3 linked regions of the Caenorhabditis elegans genome follow. The protein of the gene in region 1 purifies or fractionates together with the protein of each later gene. This does not show direct contact. Each region holds a gene or a part of one and is shown in the gene's direction. Other genes may lie near its edges.

The links. The genes of interacting proteins can lie anywhere in the genome.
Region 2: the proteins of mel-32 (region 1) and gst-26 fractionate together in Caenorhabditis elegans (co-fractionation; one large-scale study listed by BioGRID). This does not show direct contact.
Region 3: the proteins of mel-32 (region 1) and K07E3.4 fractionate together in Caenorhabditis elegans (co-fractionation; one large-scale study listed by BioGRID). This does not show direct contact.

Annotation. Positions count from the first base shown.
Region 1 is NC_003281.10:6,438,879-6,445,225, reverse strand, and holds mel-32 (Serine hydroxymethyltransferase), read left to right. Parts: upstream 1-2,410; coding exon 2,411-2,473; intron 2,474-3,358; coding exon 3,359-3,490; intron 3,491-3,535; coding exon 3,536-3,873; intron 3,874-3,921; coding exon 3,922-4,745; intron 4,746-4,797; coding exon 4,798-4,964; downstream 4,965-6,347. Other genes in the region: let-721 (Electron transfer flavoprotein-ubiquinone oxidoreductase, mitochondrial), read left to right, coding at 1-125, 183-349; C05D11.13 (Vicilin-like seed storage protein At2g18540), read left to right, coding at 1,255-1,403, 1,442-2,111; C05D11.1 (uncharacterized protein), read right to left, coding at 5,378-5,573, 5,630-5,787, 5,834-6,347. UniProt on the Caenorhabditis elegans protein: Interconversion of serine and glycine.
Region 2 is NC_003280.10:15,162,699-15,167,456, reverse strand, and holds gst-26 (glutathione transferase), read left to right. Parts: upstream 1-2,903; 5' UTR 2,904-2,913; coding exon 2,914-3,052; intron 3,053-3,101; coding exon 3,102-3,592; 3' UTR 3,593-3,640; downstream 3,641-4,758. Other genes in the region: gst-28 (glutathione transferase), read left to right, coding at 65-203, 696-1,186; gst-27 (glutathione transferase), read left to right, coding at 1,788-1,926, 2,027-2,517; ptr-20 (SSD domain-containing protein), read right to left, coding at 3,985-4,293.
Region 3 is NC_003284.9:8,079,751-8,087,016, reverse strand, and holds K07E3.4 (formate--tetrahydrofolate ligase), read left to right. Parts: upstream 1-2,998; 5' UTR 2,999-3,113; coding exon 3,114-3,116; intron 3,117-3,614; exon of another isoform or gene 3,615-3,670; coding exon of another isoform or gene 3,671-3,673; intron 3,674-3,735; coding exon 3,736-3,834; intron 3,835-3,883; coding exon 3,884-4,340; intron 4,341-4,399; coding exon 4,400-4,653; intron 4,654-4,705; coding exon 4,706-5,654; intron 5,655-5,841; coding exon 5,842-6,002; 3' UTR 6,003-6,148; downstream 6,149-7,266. Other genes in the region: dao-3 (C-1-tetrahydrofolate synthase, cytoplasmic), read left to right, coding at 468-590, 880-1,053, 1,176-1,554, 2,020-2,237, 2,587-2,604; C46F2.1 (uncharacterized protein), read right to left, coding at 7,131-7,266.

The DNA of each region.
Region 1 (6,347 bases):
ATCTCTTACTGGAACCAACCATACAGAAGATCAACCTGCTCATTTGACATTGAAAAATGATCAAGTTCCACTTGATGTGAATTTGGCAGTATATGGTGGCCCGGAGGCTAGATTCTGTCCAGCTGGTGAGATTTTAATACAAATTTGACTTTTAAAAACACATAAATAACTTTTTTTTCCAGGAGTCTATGAATTCGTCCCATCCGAAGCTGATGAATCAAAGAAGCGTCTCCAAATCAATGCTCAAAATTGCATTCACTGCAAGACATGCGACATCAAGGATCCTCAACAAAACATTAACTGGGTTACACCAGAAGGAGGTGGTGGCCCAAAATACGAGGGAATGTGAATCCTTTAGCTTCTCGTTTATGTTTGTGTATAATTTTTGTACTTATTTATTCGCCACTATCGACTCGTAGATTATGTATTTCTGTTCTTCAACGGTTTCTCTCAATTTTCTCTCATTTTCGTGTTCCCCATCTTTTGTAATGCCATTACATTTTTATCCAAACCAAATGAATAGATTTCTGATTAGTGTGTACTTGAACGGAAAAGCTTCAATATTGCCATAATTGTGGTACATATATACATTCATCCCACTACAGTATCCTTTTCTGAAAAGATTGCAAAGTGTTGTATAGAAGAAGAGACGCAGATAATCAAACAAGACGTCTGCGCTCGTGTATGTTTGTCTCTGGACAGACATACACACAGAAACACCGACAATGAAGATATGAAGACACACAGACACACAGAAAGCCGTCATCGATTCTCCTGTTTTCTTTGAGCCTTATTTATATTTTTCTTATTACTCCGACGCGTAATTTTGAGATTTTTGCGCCAAAAACGGTACCCAGTCTCGACATGATATTTTTTTTAATGTGATAATTTCAAAACGGTGCACACCTTTGGAGAGTACTTTAATTACAAACTTTTGTAGTTGCGGAATGTTCATCGATTTTCCATCGTATTCCGATGAAAAACATCCTTAACTATTGAAAACTCAAAAAAAAACACGAATTTTAACAGAACGTAAGAAAAGTATGAAAAATCATGAACGGTTCCACACCAACTAGATTAAAAAATTACAGTACTCCTTGAAGGCGCACAAGTTTTTCTCATTTAACTAAAACATGTCGTGTCGAGAATCGGCACCGTATTCTTGGCGCAGGAGTCGCAAAACCTCTGTCTGTGTATTTAGTAATGTAGATTTTCAAGTTTTCTGAAAAATTAATGTATATTTGTAAGTTCAGAATGAGTAGAAAAGATTGCAAAAATATTGTCGAAGACGAAGAAGAAGATGAGAAGAGTAATGGGAATAAATCTGAAAGTCCACAAAATGCTGGCCTAGAAGAAACAATTCAGAATTTTATAGCAACATTTTTACCTGGTTCAAGTGATGAGTAAGAGTAGTAAATAGCATATTAAAATTTTTTTTAAGTTTCAGACCTCATATTACGGATATTCCAAGTTCATCCGAACCTCAAGAAGGATCTAGAGAATGCAGACTCTCCAAAGAAGCACATCGGAAACGTCTGAGAAGAGCTCGTGAAACATCAGAGGAGACTCACACACGTCTTGCCAAGGCTGCAGACTATAAAAGGAAGAGATGCTCAGAAGAGACAGAAGAAGAATATAGAGAACGATTGAAAAGGCAAGCTGAAAGAAAAAAAATGGAAAGAATGCAAGAGTCGGAAGATCAGGCAAATAATCGAAGAATAAAGGCTGCAGAGCATCGACGCCAGTATCTGCAAAGGGAGTCATTCGAAAAAGCTCAGGAAAGAAGGAATAAGGATGCGGAACGGAGAAGGAAGAGTCTCCTGGCTGAAACTCCAGAAGAAGCTGAATTGCGTAGAGCCAAGAATGCTCAGAGACGTCGGGATGCTATTAAGAATGAAACACCAGAGGAAGCTGAAAATCGGCGACAGCGTGATGCAGCAAGAAGACGGCAATATTTGCAGACGGAGACTTCAGAGCAAAAATCAGCTAGGAAAATCCAAGATGCTGCACGAAAACGTCAAAATCGAATTTTGAAGCAAGCAGGGCAAAGTGAAGAATCACTTGCAGTCATCACGGGATCATTGAGCGATGGAACTCTTTCGGGTCTATAAAAATTAATTGAAAATTTTTTTAATAAATAAGTAGTTTGTTGTTTGACCTTTTGCTTTTAAAACCGATAAAATCGTATTAATTTTTTGAATCAACGGTCCGCTCATTTCCACCTATCAGTCTTTAAATTCTGTTGAATCGCAATAAAAACGGCAAGTTTCATCTCTTGTTTGCAACAAAACAGAGAAACTGATAAGACTGATAACGATCAGTGGTCTGATCGATAGTCGATTTCTGTTTTAACACATTTATTCTGAAGTTCTAGAATTTTATTTGTTATTTTAATATTTTCAGGCACAAAATGTTTGCAAGGATAGTGAGCAGAAGAGCAGCAACTGGATTATTTGCCGGAGCCAGCTCCCAGGTTTGTGTGTGCACTTTCGCGTGGGATCAGTTGTAAAATACGCATGGCGCGAATATTTGAATTTGTAAAAATTTTGCCCGCTCAAAGTTGCAATTTGCTTTTCTCTCCCCATTTTCATTCCCAAAACGGCACCGTCCATGGTTCACTCGTTGTTTCTGATCAGAAAGTGATCTTCATCATAATATCTTGCCATTTTCCGCCTTTCACTCAGTTATCTCGGGCTTGTCTCCGACTTGTCCAGCAATAGAAATATCGTTGACATTGACCCACAGGCGCCGCTTTTGTTGCTTTGATAACAACTTGGTAACTGATAAACTCTATTCACTTCTTTATTTTTATTTTTAATGATCATCTCTGTGATGTTGCATTGATAATCGTAGTTCTCTATTTTCTCCGCGTATATTTTTACCATAAGCTGTGAAAATGTCTTGCTCCGTTGTTTCTTTTTGCAGTTCTGAATAACACATGTACACGCTGCAGTATCGTTTGCACTTGTTTTAAATGGTTTCTTTGCATAGTTTTCTGTAGCAATGTTTTGTGTTTGCATTTGAAAGTTATCTGCATTATATTTTTGTTATTAGAGACCACTTTTTTGTTTTTATTACTAAGTTAGTGTACACTTGTTAAAACCACGCTCGAATACCTCTTTAATTACAATTTCTAATGAGTAACTTTTGACTTATCAGTTTTGATCTACGATCCGGGATGCGCCCAATCTCGAAAACTTCCCGGTTCAGATATCATCATAGCCTACCGCGAATCCAGTTTTATTCTTATTTTCTCCACACTTTCCCATGCATATACGTGTTGCCAACGCGTCAGCTTTTGTGTTGAATATGTTCCCGATTTTTTCGCTTCTTTGCTTAATTTAATTTGGTTTTACAGTGTAAAATGGCTGATCGTCAAGTGCACACACCATTGGCTAAAGTTCAGCGCCACAAGTACACCAACAACGAGAACATTTTGGTGGACCATGTTGAGAAAGTTGATCCAGAAGTTTTCGATATCATGAAAAATGTAAGACTTAATGTTTCTCAAATCTTAGTCATTTGTTTTTTTCAGGAGAAGAAGCGGCAGCGTCGTGGACTTGAGCTCATCGCTTCCGAGAACTTCACAAGCAAGGCTGTTATGGATGCTCTTGGCTCGGCAATGTGCAACAAATACAGTGAAGGATACCCTGGAGCTCGGTATTACGGAGGAAATGAGTTCATCGATCAGATGGAGCTCCTTTGCCAGAAGAGAGCTCTTGAGGTATTCGGACTTGATCCAGCCAAGTGGGGAGTCAATGTGCAGCCATTGTCCGGATCACCAGCCAATTTCGCAGTCTACACTGCCATCGTTGGATCCAATGGACGCATTATGGGCCTCGATCTTCCAGATGGAGGTCATTTGACTCATGGGTAAGGTTATCTAGATTAGACTCGAATGAATTATACATTTAATTTCAGATTCTTCACCCCAGCTCGCAAAGTCTCTGCGACTTCTGAATTCTTCCAGTCTCTTCCATACAAGGTTGATCCAACAACTGGATTGATCGACTATGACAAGCTTGAGCAGAATGCAATGCTTTTCCGTCCAAAAGCCATCATTGCCGGAGTTTCCTGCTACGCTCGTCATCTCGATTATGAACGTTTCCGTAAGATTGCCACAAAGGCTGGAGCCTATTTGATGTCTGATATGGCTCACATCTCCGGACTTGTTGCCGCTGGACTTATCCCATCACCATTCGAGTATTCTGATGTTGTAACCACAACGACGCACAAGTCGCTCAGAGGACCACGTGGAGCTTTGATCTTCTACAGAAAGGGTGTCCGATCTACCAACGCAAAGGGAGTTGACACTTTGTATGATTTGGAGGAGAAGATCAACTCGGCCGTGTTCCCAGGACTTCAAGGTGGACCACACAATCACACTATTGCTGGAATTGCCGTTGCTTTGAGACAATGCCTTTCTGAAGATTTTGTTCAGTACGGAGAGCAAGTGTTGAAGAATGCCAAAACCTTGGCCGAGAGAATGAAGAAGCATGGATATGCTTTGGCAACCGGAGGAACCGACAATCATTTGTTGCTTGTTGACTTGCGCCCAATCGGAGTTGAAGGAGCTCGTGCTGAGCATGTGCTTGATCTCGCTCATATTGCTTGCAACAAGAATACGTGCCCAGGAGACGTTTCTGCTTTGAGACCAGGAGGCATTCGTCTCGGAACTCCAGCTCTCACCTCCCGTGGATTCCAGGAGCAAGATTTCGAGAAAGTCGGAGATTTCATTCATGAGGGTATGTTTTTTCAACTGTAATCTTCAACATTAATCTAAAATATTGATTTCAGGTGTTCAAATCGCAAAGAAGTACAATGCTGAGGCTGGAAAGACATTGAAAGACTTCAAATCATTCACTGAGACCAATGAACCATTCAAGAAAGACGTCGCTGATCTCGCCAAACGTGTTGAGGAGTTCTCCACGAAGTTCGAGATTCCAGGAAACGAAACTTTCTAATTTTAATCATCATCGTCATTATCAACATTGCATTTGTATTTATAAAAACATTCCCGCCATTTTATCACTTTCATGTTTGAATTTTAAACAGGAGAAATAAATATTGATCTTTTCAAATTTAATTGTTTTTTTATATTTAGAAAGCAATTGAGATTATCTACGGCATTTGGCATAAGCCGTATGCTGAATTTTCTGAATGCCGCACACATCTGGACCCTTCTACAGTTCTCTCACAGTGATGTTTGGGGTAGCTGTTTAATGCAACGTTCACCGACTTTTTTCCATTTGTGTTTAATTCAAATCAGACCAGAACTTTATTTAACAAAACAAGCTACCGAAAGAAATAAATAAAACCAGAGCCAACAAACGGGGAAATGATGGAAGAATAATAAGAATATAAAAGAACAGGCAAACTAGCATGCAAACTGCAAGTCCGAAATCTTGATCTTGCTACTTCCTGGGAATGCCTTCTTCATCTCATTGAGTTTTGATGGATGAACAGCAATTGAACGGACAAAGCACTTCTCATCGAAAAGACGAGCCAGTGGTGGTCCGCCGATCTTAACCATCTCTTCCGATGTCAGATTCCAGATACGGCGACACAGATCACTGAAATCGCGGAAGTTGATACTTTCCTAGTCTTAGAATGTTTTCAGTAAACTCACATATTGAATGGATGGGGAGTTTGACGGAAATTATTGAGAATGCTGATCTTTGCAGCTCCACTCACAGTTCCTTCACGCTTCATCATCTCGAACACAGTTGATCTCTTTGCTCCCTCAAATTCTGCTTTGGAGATTTCACCGCTCTCGACGATTTTGCGCTGAAATTTAAAGTTATTTTAACGAAACTTATTTTTTTCTACTTACAATAATATCTCTGGTTCTCTCATAAGCCACTGCTGGCTGAGCGCATCTGTAGAGACTCAAAGTGATTTGCTTCCGATCGGGTTTCACAAATACGTTAGCTCCATAGGCAAGTCCATCTCCACGAATTGCACGCCACAATGGACCTTCACACTGAGAGAGATATTGTCCAAAGATCATTGCTGGAATCAACTCCTCTGAATTCCAGTTAGCATCAAGGAAGCTTGTTTGATAGATGAATGAAGACTCGGATCCACCAACTCCGATGAGAAGTTCCTTTCCGAGCTCAAGTGATACGTTTTCACCAGCTTCAGCTGAGAATTGATGTCCAGGTCCGAATCTTGGATCAGCTTGTACCCAGGTCCAAAGATCGGAACTCAACATTTTCGGATCAATTGAATCAACGTCAGCAACAAAATGAGCATTCACTCCGTTTGAGAAAAGAGCACTACGAACTTGTTCAAGCTTTTCAAGGACTGCTTCGGGATTCTTCATCACATCCTTCGATATTTTTTCA
Region 2 (4,758 bases), on another chromosome or scaffold:
TTCGGCGTTCCAGTTTTCCTTTTTTGCGTATAAATACTACTTCATTACAGAAAAGTTGTCAAAAATGCCTACCTACAAGCTCACCTATTTCAATGCTCGTGGATACGCTGAGGCCGCACGTATCCTCTTCCACTTGGCAGATGTTCCATTCGAGGACTTCCGTATGACACACGGAGATGGAACATGGGAGAAGCTTAAAGACGGTTAGTGGAGATTTGGGGCCTACCGATTGCCTGCCTATCTTATTATAGCGCGATATTTTGATAAGAAGTTATGGATGGCATTCAAATTTTAAAAAAAGTTCTGACAATAATGGGAAAGCCAAATTTTCTGAGCACACGGTCTTGGATGGGTTAAATTTTTTTCAAAAAATTGTAGGCATCATTTTTCGTAAAAAAGGCATTCCAAATTAAAACAAAAAATTATTTAAAAAATTTCGCCGGAAAAATCAATTTTTTTTATAAAATAGTTTTAGGGCTATGTATATGTAATTGTTTCGAAACTTTTTTAGCGGGAAATTCACAATAAAAAAAACATTATTTTTCACGATGAAGTTTTGGATGGGATTCGAATTTTAATCTAAAAATTTTTTTCTAGAAACTTTTACAACTTCTGGAGCTTTTTGGAAAATTTCTGAAAATTTTGAAATTTTTAGAATGCTCCAAATACTTACTCACATATATATATTTTTTCAGGCGCCCCATTTGGTCAAGTACCTTACCTGACCGTTGATGGATTTGATATCCCACAATCTGCTGCAATAATCCGCTACCTTGCCAACAAATTCGGATATGCTGGAAAAACCCCAGAAGAGCAGGTTTGGGCAGATGCCATCGTTGATCAGTTCAAGGATTTCATGGGATCATTCCGCGAACGTATCATGGCACATTTCGCTGGAAAATCTCAGGAAGAAATTGCAAAGATCACTTCTGAAGTAGTGATTCCAGCTAGAGATTCGTACTTTAAGATTCTCAATGGGCTTCTTGAAAAGAGCAAGTCAGGATTCCTAGTCGGCGACAGTATCACCTTCGCGGACATTGTCATCTCTGAGAATATTACTACTTTGGAGAAAAATCAATTGTTTGTTGCTTCGGAGCAACCAAACTTGGCTGCTCTTCGAGAGAAGGTCTATGCAATTCCAGCTATCAGGAAGTGGGTAGAGGCTCGTCCAGATACTCAGTACTAAATCGAAAATTTTCTTGAAATTTTGTTCAATGAAGTAATATAATTACAAATTCGAATAAATTTTTAAAATGCACCACTATTTGCATTCTTATTTGCAATTTTCCTCTCAATCGCAGCTGCCTTCTTCCTCTAAAACCCGCACTCAACATCATTCTCAACAACACCGTTTCTGCCAAGTGCACGCGTGGCCTGCTGGATAACGAGTTGGTCTCTCGTTCCGACTGCCACAGGTTCGTGCCCTCTCACCGCCTCTCTACCAAACACTTGCAAGTTCTGTTTATTGCAAGTGCATGGAAGAGGCGAATAGAAAACGGAATGATGTCCACTCCTTCGATTATCGTTCATTGGATTGCGGGCACTTTACCTCGTTCGACATTTTTTATTTTAACTTAAAGTAGAATTTTGGATTTTATTGACTCTCCGTCCGAATTTTTATTGACTCTTCTCCCACCTCCCCCCCCCCCCCCCCATCCATTTCTTGGTTTTTGGTTTATTGATCTCCACGACAGTTTGATAACACTTTGCGGAGGAATTTTTCCCAATCATTTTGCTTGCAGAATCACACAAGAAAACTGTCTGGTTGTGGTTTTCATTTAACTAAAATGCCATCCTACAAGCTGACCTATTTTAACGTGCGTGGATATGGAGAACCAGCTCGTATTCTGTTCCATCTTGCCGATGTTCCATTTGAAGATTTCCGAATGACCATTGGAGATGGAACATGGGAAAATCTCAAAGCCAGTAAGTAATAGCGACCTTGAAACGCCATATTAAAATTTAAAAAAAACTGAAATAAAGTAGCCAAGACAGAAATTGAACATTATTTTTTGTTTCTATTTAGAAACTCCATTTGGACAAGCCCCAGTCTTATCAGTTGATGGATTTGAAATTCCACAATCCGCTGCAATCAACCGCTACCTTGCCAAGCAATTCGGATATGCTGGAAAAACCCCGGAGGAGCAAGCCTGGACTGATGCTATCGTCGATCAATACAAGGATTTTATGGTATCAATCAAAGAAGTGGGAAAAGCAAGCGCTGCTGGAAAGTCTGCCGAGGAGGTCGGGAAGATCATCCAGTCAGATCTCGTTCCGGCAAGAGATGCATTCTTTGTGATAATCAACAAGATCCTTGAGAAGAGCAAGTCCGGATTTTTAGTTGGAGATGGTCTAACCATCGCAGATATTGTGATTGTGGAATGCATCACAACTTTGGACAAACATCAGCTCTTCACTGCATCGGAGCAACCAAAATTGGTCGCGCTTCGAGAGAAGGTATATGCGATTCCAGCAATAAAGAAATGGGTTGAGATTCGTCCAGATACCCTGAACTAGGTTTGTTTTAAATGTGCTGATATATTAATTCAATAAATCGTTATGTTATGTTCATGTAATCTCATTTTATTTTCAAATACGTTAATTCTGAACGTGTTAATTCTATTTTTAACTTTATTTTTCTATCTAGATTGAAGCTAAACTCAGTTCTGTTCAATTTTACAGTTAAAAAAATTTTATGGTCCAGGATACATTTTTTAAAATTGTACAATTGACCTTAAATTGTTATTTTTCTCTGAAATACTTTGTAAAAATTAATCATGGTTTGACTTTTTCTGTCAAATATTTGATAAGACTATGCGGAAAGACTGCATTTTTCCAATGCTATTTCGAAAAATTGTTTGATATCGGAATCACACTATCACACATACCTATATTTAAAACAGACAGATCACTATGCCTTCCTACAAACTCACCTATTTCAACGCTCGTGGCTACGGAGAAGCTGCTCGTATTCTCTTCCATCTTGCCGATGTTCCATTTGAGGATTTCCGTATGACCCATGGAGATGGAACATGGGAAAAGCTGAAAGAAAGTAGGTCATTTATATGTGGCAAACACTAAACTCAAAGTAAGTATTTCAGAAACTCCACTCGGACAAGTCCCGGTCCTATCCGTCGATGGATTTGAAATTCCACAATCTGCTGCAATCATCCGCTATCTTGCCAATAAATTTGGATATGCTGGAAAAACCCCGGAAGAGCAAGCTTGGGCAGATGCCATCGTTGACCAATTCAAGGATTTCATGGGATCCTTCAGAGAAGTCGGAAAAGCACATGCCGCTGGAAAGCCAGCTGAGGAGATTGCAAAGATCATGCAATCAGATGTCGTTCCGGCTAGAGATGCATTCTTCGTAATCATCAATGGGATCCTGGAGAAGAGCAAGTCAGGATTCTTGGTTGGAGATGGGCTCACTTTTGCCGATATTGTAGTTGTGGAGTGCATCACAACTTTGGACAAAAATCAGTTATTCACTCCAGCGGGAGAGCCAAAGTTGGTTGCTCTTCGGGAGAAGGTCTATGCGATTCCAGCTATCAAGAAGTGGGTCGAGATTCGCCCAGATACTCAGTACTAAAGTTTGTTGTAAATTGTTTGATAATTGAATACAATAAATAGTTTTAATATCTCCTTGTAAAAATTCAAATTATTGTGGGAATATAAATTCACTAGTGTAATTTAATTTTCTAAAAATTTCATAGTTCTGTTCGCTACAGTAACAGTGCTGCTTGAGTACCGAAGATAATTCTCAAGTGCTTCGAACCACTCTTTTCATTTATTTCATACTCATATGTAACCTAAAACATAGAGCTGTGTACTGTTTTACTATTGAGTACGAAAATTTTATTTCAAACATGTTATCAAACAATCAATGGAGATGTGAACAACCCGTATTAGATGATAATACAATCAATGGAAAAGAAAATACCCTGGGTTTTCAAAAAAACATACAAACTACAACAAAACGCTCTATGAAGCCAATTCCATCGAATGCGGAGTAGGAGCAACTGCACGTTTCCGTCGGAATAAGAGCTTAATGTCATGCGTTAAAATGAATATTACTGGCAACAGAATGAGAGCATGAAGCATTCCAAGTATACCGACCAGGATCACAGTCTTCCAGAATACTGCTACAACATACGCACGTACAAACATCAATGGGAACATGCCAAGAATCGTGGAGAGCCCGGACTGCATTACTGGCCAGGCGACTCCGCGGAAGGTGCTTAGAAGACGGTCACGAGTCTCGGCGTAGTTATGTGATCTCCAGAGTTGCTCCTAGAAAAATATGAAGTTGGTTTGAAAATGGGGTACGGTTGTTTGGTATGGTGGATGTAGTGTGAAGTATGTAAACATCGTGTGGGGCTGTCCCATTACGGTTTGATCTACAAAAAAAATGCGGGGATATTTCGCCAAGAGAAATGTGTTGAAAATCAGTTGAAATCTCTGCGTCTCAACTCCCGCATTTTTTGTAGATCTACGTATTTCAAACCGAAATGGGACTCTCTGACACCACGTGATGGTACAATAGTTTAAAAATAAGATCATAGATTAGGGTACTGTAGGGTTAATGCATGTTTCAATTTTATAGTATAGTATTTGACTAGAATGCCAGTACAGTAAGGGGTACTGTAGCTCGGGCGTCTTAATAAGTGGCTTAGCTTGATGGGATTACTGTAGAGCTAATTTAAGTCAGCCACACACAACTTTTAGTGTTGTGATTCTTTATGAAACGGAGATTCC
Region 3 (7,266 bases), on another chromosome or scaffold:
CATGTGACAAAAATTGAATTTTGTTCCTTGATACACTGTTTTCATTTTCAAGCAAACATGTTTAATGCGGAAGCTTTGACATCGAAACTGTCGGTGGAACATGTATTTTCCATGAGAATGTCGCTGACAAGCAACTCTAGTCACTCGACACATAAAATCATAGCGATCTTCAGCATAAGATAACAAGGCCAGGCCGTTTTAAAACTCTTCTCATCACTCCCCCACAAACAACAGACCGCTATGCATATTCAACTTTTTCGACGCTTTATTTTTTCACTCTGTCCCCCACCATCGAAATGTGAATATGTGCTAAGTTTCCAATCAGCTTGTCCTCTGACTTCTGCACTAGTCTCTTCCCATGAATAGCCAAGTACAAGAGGAGTTTCGTACTCTTTTCCTTTACTCTTCCCCTTCTTGTTTTCTTGACGTATTTTTCAACTTGATTATTACTTTGTTTATTTTTTAGAATGGTCGCGGAGATCGTCAGTGGACTCGAGTACTCAAAAAAGGTTCTTCACGATGTCGGACAGAAAATCGCAAAAACCCGTGAGCACCACCCAAATTTTCATGCAGTATTGGCAATTGTTCAGGTATGAAAGCTTACCACTGATAATAATTTTATTTCAAGCATTGCTATTAACTTAATAATATTTCTAAATTGAATATATGAAAATGAAAATCTCTGTCCAATCTGTGTTTTGAGTTCATGACGTACATAAGTGCATTGCATACTTACAAAACAGATTTTGAAAGTTTTGCAGAGCGTAATTTGTAGTTGTGGTGTACTTTTGAGATACCGGCTTTTATTTCGTAACAAGACAAATAATATCCGAGGGGATATCTGTTATACTGAATAACTCAAAGTCTCAAAATTTGCAGGTTGGAAATCGTTCAGACTCCAATGTGTACATTAATTCCAAACTGAAAAAAGCAAAGGAAATCGGAGCAGATGGAAAACTCATTAAGTTGCCAGACACCATCACTCAAGGAGATTTGAAGCGAGAGATTATGGCTCTTAATCATGACAACGAGATTGACGGAATTATCATTCAGGTTAATATAACGGATTAAGTTGTAATATTGAAATGTTAACTTATAACGGAAAAAAAACACATCTCAGTTAATTAAAAAAAAACATCGGAAGCTAAACAATAATAGCAAGTTATTAATTTCAGCTTCCACTGGACTGCAAGCACGAAATCGACGCAGACTCTGTTATCGACTTGATTGACCCATTGAAAGATGTCGATGGACTGACTCGTATCAATGCTGGACGTTTGGCTCGTGGAGAACTCCAGCGTACGATCTTTCCTTGCACTCCGTTTGGATGCTTGTACTTGGTTCAACAGGCAACTGGTGATGCCAACTTTGTGTCTGGAAAGGAGGTGGTTGTTTTGGGACGCTCGAAAATTGTCGGATCTCCAGCCGCTGCGCTTTTCTTGTGGCATCATGGAACTGTGACAATCTGCCACTCAAAAACTCCAAATCTCAAGGAGAAATGCCTGAGAGCAGATATTTTGATTGTGGCAATTGGGAGAAAACATTTCGTCAAAGGTAGATTATCAATAAACCTAAATTTGAGATAGTGCACAGTACTGGCCATACAGATATCAAAAGATTGATTTCAACTTCAGCAAACGTGGTTATTCCGAGCTGAGATCTGACTATAGTAAAATAGTGAAAGTTTTTATATCCTGATTTTTTGGAATTCATCATTGAACAAATTTCGCGTTGCTTTTTTCATAATTACGCCCAAATCCATTTAAAAGAAGAATCTTGGCAAAAGTTATTACGAGTAGACCTTTATATGAGCAGCACGGTATTTACTTGCTAACCTAAAAGTTTGTAAGTCATTAAATTATGCAAAATATCTATAATAGAAACCCCAATTTAAGAACTATCAATGTTTAGTATGCACCTGACTGTTTGCAACTTCTGAATTGTTTTGCATCAAATAGAAACAGACTCTCTGTTCTGATAAGTGTCAGCGTTTTTTACAAATAAAAGCATATATTTCAGCTGATTGGATCAAGCCTGGCGCATTCGTCATCGACTGTGGAATCAACGTTGGTGACGACCCAAACTCACGCAAAATTTACGGAGATGTTGACACAGAAGCCGCAAAGGAAGTCGCCGGATTCCTCACACCTGTCCCCGGAGGCGTTGGACCAATGACTGTTGCCATGCTCATCCGTAACACATTTGAGCAGGCTAAGAGACGACGTCTTGGACAAAAGGTAAAATAGCTTTCCTTTTGCGACACTAAGTTTGTGCAGGTTTTTTGATGTTCTGGCCTAAGCGTGGATAGTGCCAAACAGTTTGTTTTGCGTGTGGGGTTGATACTGATGCACCAGAGTTTATTTCAAAAATTACAAAAGACACCGATAGCACGTTATCGACTCAAAGAACTTCAAAAATTCATTGAGCGATAAACTCTACGAAACAAGCAAATTTCATGGACATTGTCTTCATTATTTACACCGAATGTAAAGTTGTTCTGCAACTATAGTGTGCCTCACACAAAATCGATTGAAAATATGTTAAAAATATTTGTAAGTGTTGTATTTCACAGAACCTACTTTTCAGGATGACGATGATGAGTGAACTTCAAGCACCCACTTCCACCACATCATTTGCGAATGAACTATTTATAATGTGCTTTTTGGTTTGACTTTTTACTCTTTAAAATTTGTTGTGACGTTCTGGAACTTGAAGTCCTCTTCATACCTTTTTTTAATCTAATCTTTTCAATTTGTATTTTCTTTTTATTGTCACTTTCCACCGAAATAAACAATGACCAAGGACACAATTAGCCCTGATTTGTAAAAAGACCATGGTCTCGCGATAAATGCACGTGGTTAGTTTAGATGTTTAGATGCACGAGAGCGACGCAACATCGAACAAATCAGAGGACGCGATCAATAAGGCAGACCCGGCAAATGCCCCCCGTGCATGTTTTCTGTGCGTCTCCTAATATCTGATACTGACTCGATTACTTGTTCTGCCCACTGCCTTATCAAGGTGTTTGTATTTAGTGGCCATCGCTCTGCAGTTGTTTGAATCACTCGCTTTTTATTTTCGTTGATTCATTGGTTTCTCTTGAATTGTGAAACATGGTAAGTAACACTAACGTTTTGGGATTTGATTTTTAAACGGAAAATGCAATTTTGAAAACTCCAAAAATAACAAAAATAATTTGTTCATGTTTTGAGCGTGAGCAAAAAAAACAGAACTTGTGTATAATAACTCCACACTGTAAAAATACATTTTCAAAAAAAAAAAGAGTCTGAAGATAAAAAAAAGAGTATTATCTGTTAAATTAATATGTACATAGAAATTAATCTTGAAAAAGCGTCTTTTTTGTTTATGTTGACTAATAAAAACTTAATATGTCCCAGTTTGATATGTTGTCATACATTTCTGGAAAACCTAAAATATGTTACTTTCTTCTGATAAACCTGTCCGTGCGTTTTATCGTTTTTTAAAGTCAAGTTGCGAATTGCAACATTATCACTATTGTCAATCTATTTTATTGATTGATAAGAATCAAAATATAAAAAAATAAGAATTTTTGATCGAAGTTCCCATAAACATTTAAGTCACAATTTCTATCTTTTCATCAACTTCAATTTTCAATTTTTCACGCTGCTTGCGCCGCAAATTTGACCGAATGGTAATTCGATTAAATGTTCCAAATCAAACATTATAATTTCGTTGAATTATTTTTTATTTCAGAGCACATGGAATGTTGAATACTTGAAGCCCACCCTGTTAACTCCTGTTCCATCGGATATTGCTATTTCGAGAGCTCAACCACCAAAGGACATCGAAAAGGCACTCAAGAATATTTAATTTAAAAAAAACTTATCTTCATTATTTTCAGGTAGCTGGGGAAATTGGAATCAAACAAGAAGAGCTTGACCTTTATGGACGCAAGAAGGCAAAGGTTTCTCTTGACATTTTGGATAGACTGAGCGAGGTTAAAAATGGAAAGTACGTTGTAGTTGCTGGTATTACGCCAACACCTCTTGGAGAAGGAAAATCCACAACGACAATCGGACTAGTTCAAGCTCTCGGAGCTCATCTTCACAAAAAGGTGTTCGCATGTGTACGCCAGCCATCGCAAGGACCAACGTTTGGAATTAAAGGAGGAGCTGCTGGAGGAGGATACTCTCAGGTTATTCCGATGGAGGAGTTCAATCTTCATTTGACAGGAGATATCCATGCAATTACTGCAGCCAATAATCTTCTTGCTGCTGCAATCGATGCTAGAATGTTCCATGAGTCAACCCAAGCAACTGATGCACTATTCAACAGATTGGCACCAAAGAACAAGAAGGGTTTGTTTGAAGTCCCTTTTTATGGCATAGAAATAAATACATTAATACTTACTTTTCAGGAGTCCGCCCACTTTCGGAGATCCAACTTCGTCGCCTCGACCGTCTTGGAATCCCACGTGTAGATGATGCTGAAAATCTTAGCGAAGAGCAGAGAGTTAGCTTTGCTCGTCTCAACATAGATCCTGCAACTATCACCTGGAACCGTGTGATGGATACGAACGATAGATTCTTAAGAAAGATTGAAATTGGAATGGGACCGAATGAGAAGGGACACACCCGAACTACTCAGTTTGATATTACTGTTGCTAGTGAGGTTAGTCAAAACAATTTCATGGCAATTTTAATTTATTAATTCTTATTTGTAGCTCATGGCGATTCTTGCGTTGACAACTTCTCTCGCTGATATGCAAGAAAGAATTGCACGAATTGTGATCGGATCCGACAAGGCTGGCAATCCAGTAACCGCTGATGATATTGGAGTAACTGGGGCTTTGACAGTTCTTATGCGAGACACCGTTCGCCCAAACCTGATGCAAACTTTGGAGGGTACTCCGGTTTTTGTCCATGCCGGACCCTTCGCTAATATTGCACATGGACAAAGCAGTATTCTTGCTGACAAGGTTGCTTTGAAACTTGCCGGACCCGACGGATTTGTGATCACTGAAGCTGGATTCGGAGCCGATATCGGAATGGAGAAGTTCTTCAACATCAAGTGCCGTTACTCGGGACTTCAGCCATCAGCAGTTGTCCTTGTAGCAACTGTAAGAGCTCTTAAGATGCATGGAGGTGGTCCATCTGTTGTAGCAGGAGCTCCACTGAAACACGAATACCTTGACGAAAACATTCCACTTGTTGAAGGAGGATGCGATTCAAATCTTAGAAAGCAGATTGAGAATGCAAACAAATTTGGAATCCCTGTTGTTGTCTGCGTGAACAAGTTCGCAACCGATACCGACAAGGAGTTGGAACTTGTTTGCTCCAAGGCCAAGGAATACGGAGCATTTGATGCAGTGGTTTCCGAACACTGGTCACAAGGAGGCGCTGGTGCGGTTGCTCTCGCCAATTCTCTGGTCAATGCTACAACTGGACATCCAAAGCAATTCAAATTCCTTTACAACCTGGATTTGTCATTGGAAGACAAGATCGCTACTATCGCCAAAGAAATCTATGGTGCTGATGGCATTGAACTATCTGACGAGGCCAAACAGAAATTGGAAAGATACACAAGACAGGGATTCTCGAAGTTGCCAATTTGTATGGCAAAAACTCATTTGTCCCTTTCATCAGACCCAACAAAGAAGGGTGCTCCAACTGGTAAGAAATCAAATTATTAGATACCGGTCAATTATAAACACTCTGTTGATGTTTTAATGTTTATAGTTTAGGTACTAAAAGTTCAACATTATGATTGGTTAATGAAACTCGATATTGACTATGCATAAACAATTTCCTACCAAACTATTCAAACAACTATTTTCAAATCAAGATAGAGTTTTTGTAGGTTTCACACTTCCGATTCGCGACGTGCGTGCATCCGTTGGAGCTGGATTCATTTACCCATTGGTTGGTGAAATGACCACAATGCCAGGACTCAACACTCGTCCGTGCTTCTACGACATCACCATTGACCCAGTCACTGAGATCATTGATGGGCTATTCTAAACAATGCTTTCATACTTCTTTCTACAGATTATTTGTGATATGCGTAACATTGTGATTTTATATAAGAATTTAATACTGAAATTGTAAATAAAAAGAGTATATAAGAGCATATTTTTTGAAGACCAATAAAATTGAATTAAAAAAAATATTTCTGTCTGCCAGGACATATTTGCCGAAAACCTGTTATTTCAGAAAAAACCCGGTTTTTCCTGTTGTCACGTCATCATATGATCATAGCAGTTGATTGGCTATGAAATTGAAATTTGCTGGATTCAATTACTTTTTCATCAGCTCAACACAATATCTGTGTATCATAACTATGATACATTTTTCCAAAAATTGGTTATTCAGTATTTCTACTTAAAAACGGGATATAATAGTTTGGGTAGTAATGCTTTTTTTTTAATAATTTTTTTTGCAGTTTGTATCAAGACCATGCATATTATTTTTGACATGGAAATTGCATTGTTGTTTTTATATCTTCCTATCAAAAAAGACAATGCAAAACTTTTTTACAGATACTTATTTGTTGAAAATCGTAGCAAGTAAGTTAGCTCGAAAATATTTGAAAAAGGGGATTTAGTATTGAAAAACTTAGATTTTTAGTTTTTCTGGCAATTTCCTTTGACATTTTTTAAAAGCTTTTAATTGAGATGTCTGTTGCTTCATTGAAGATTAAAAAAACAAGTATAAAATCTTCTAATGCACTTTTACTTTTTCTTCCTTCGTGTAGCCTGACATGTTTGTTTCTTTAAATGCTGAAATTTATGATTCTGAAAAAAATTATTTGTTGAAATCATTTCATACAAAGTGGCACAGCAGGAGTAAAAATAAGAATAAAAATAAAGTACATGAAATAATAGCTGAAAAGTTTTTGGCAAGAAACAGTTGTAGCAATGCTACAGGATTTAATAGGGGAAATGGGAAGTGGTAGACTGACAGAACAATTGTCAAACAAGTATAAATCATTTTTGGAATTGTGAATGAAGCAAAGAAATTGAACATTTAAGATATACCAGATGAAATGTATTATTTGGGTTTCTCATAATATGACATCCTCCTTTATACAATTAAAGTGTTATTATTGGCTTATTGCAGTTACAAGAGTTTGAACAAGTTTTTCTTGGCTTAATCGGAATAAATTAATTTGTTGATTGGCCAGAAATCAAGAAAACTAGTCCATGTGCAATCTTTTTTGTGTGGTAATGAAAGAAGGTTGAGCGATTTGAATGTGAGCTTTTGTGATTCATGGTGCATAGTTGAA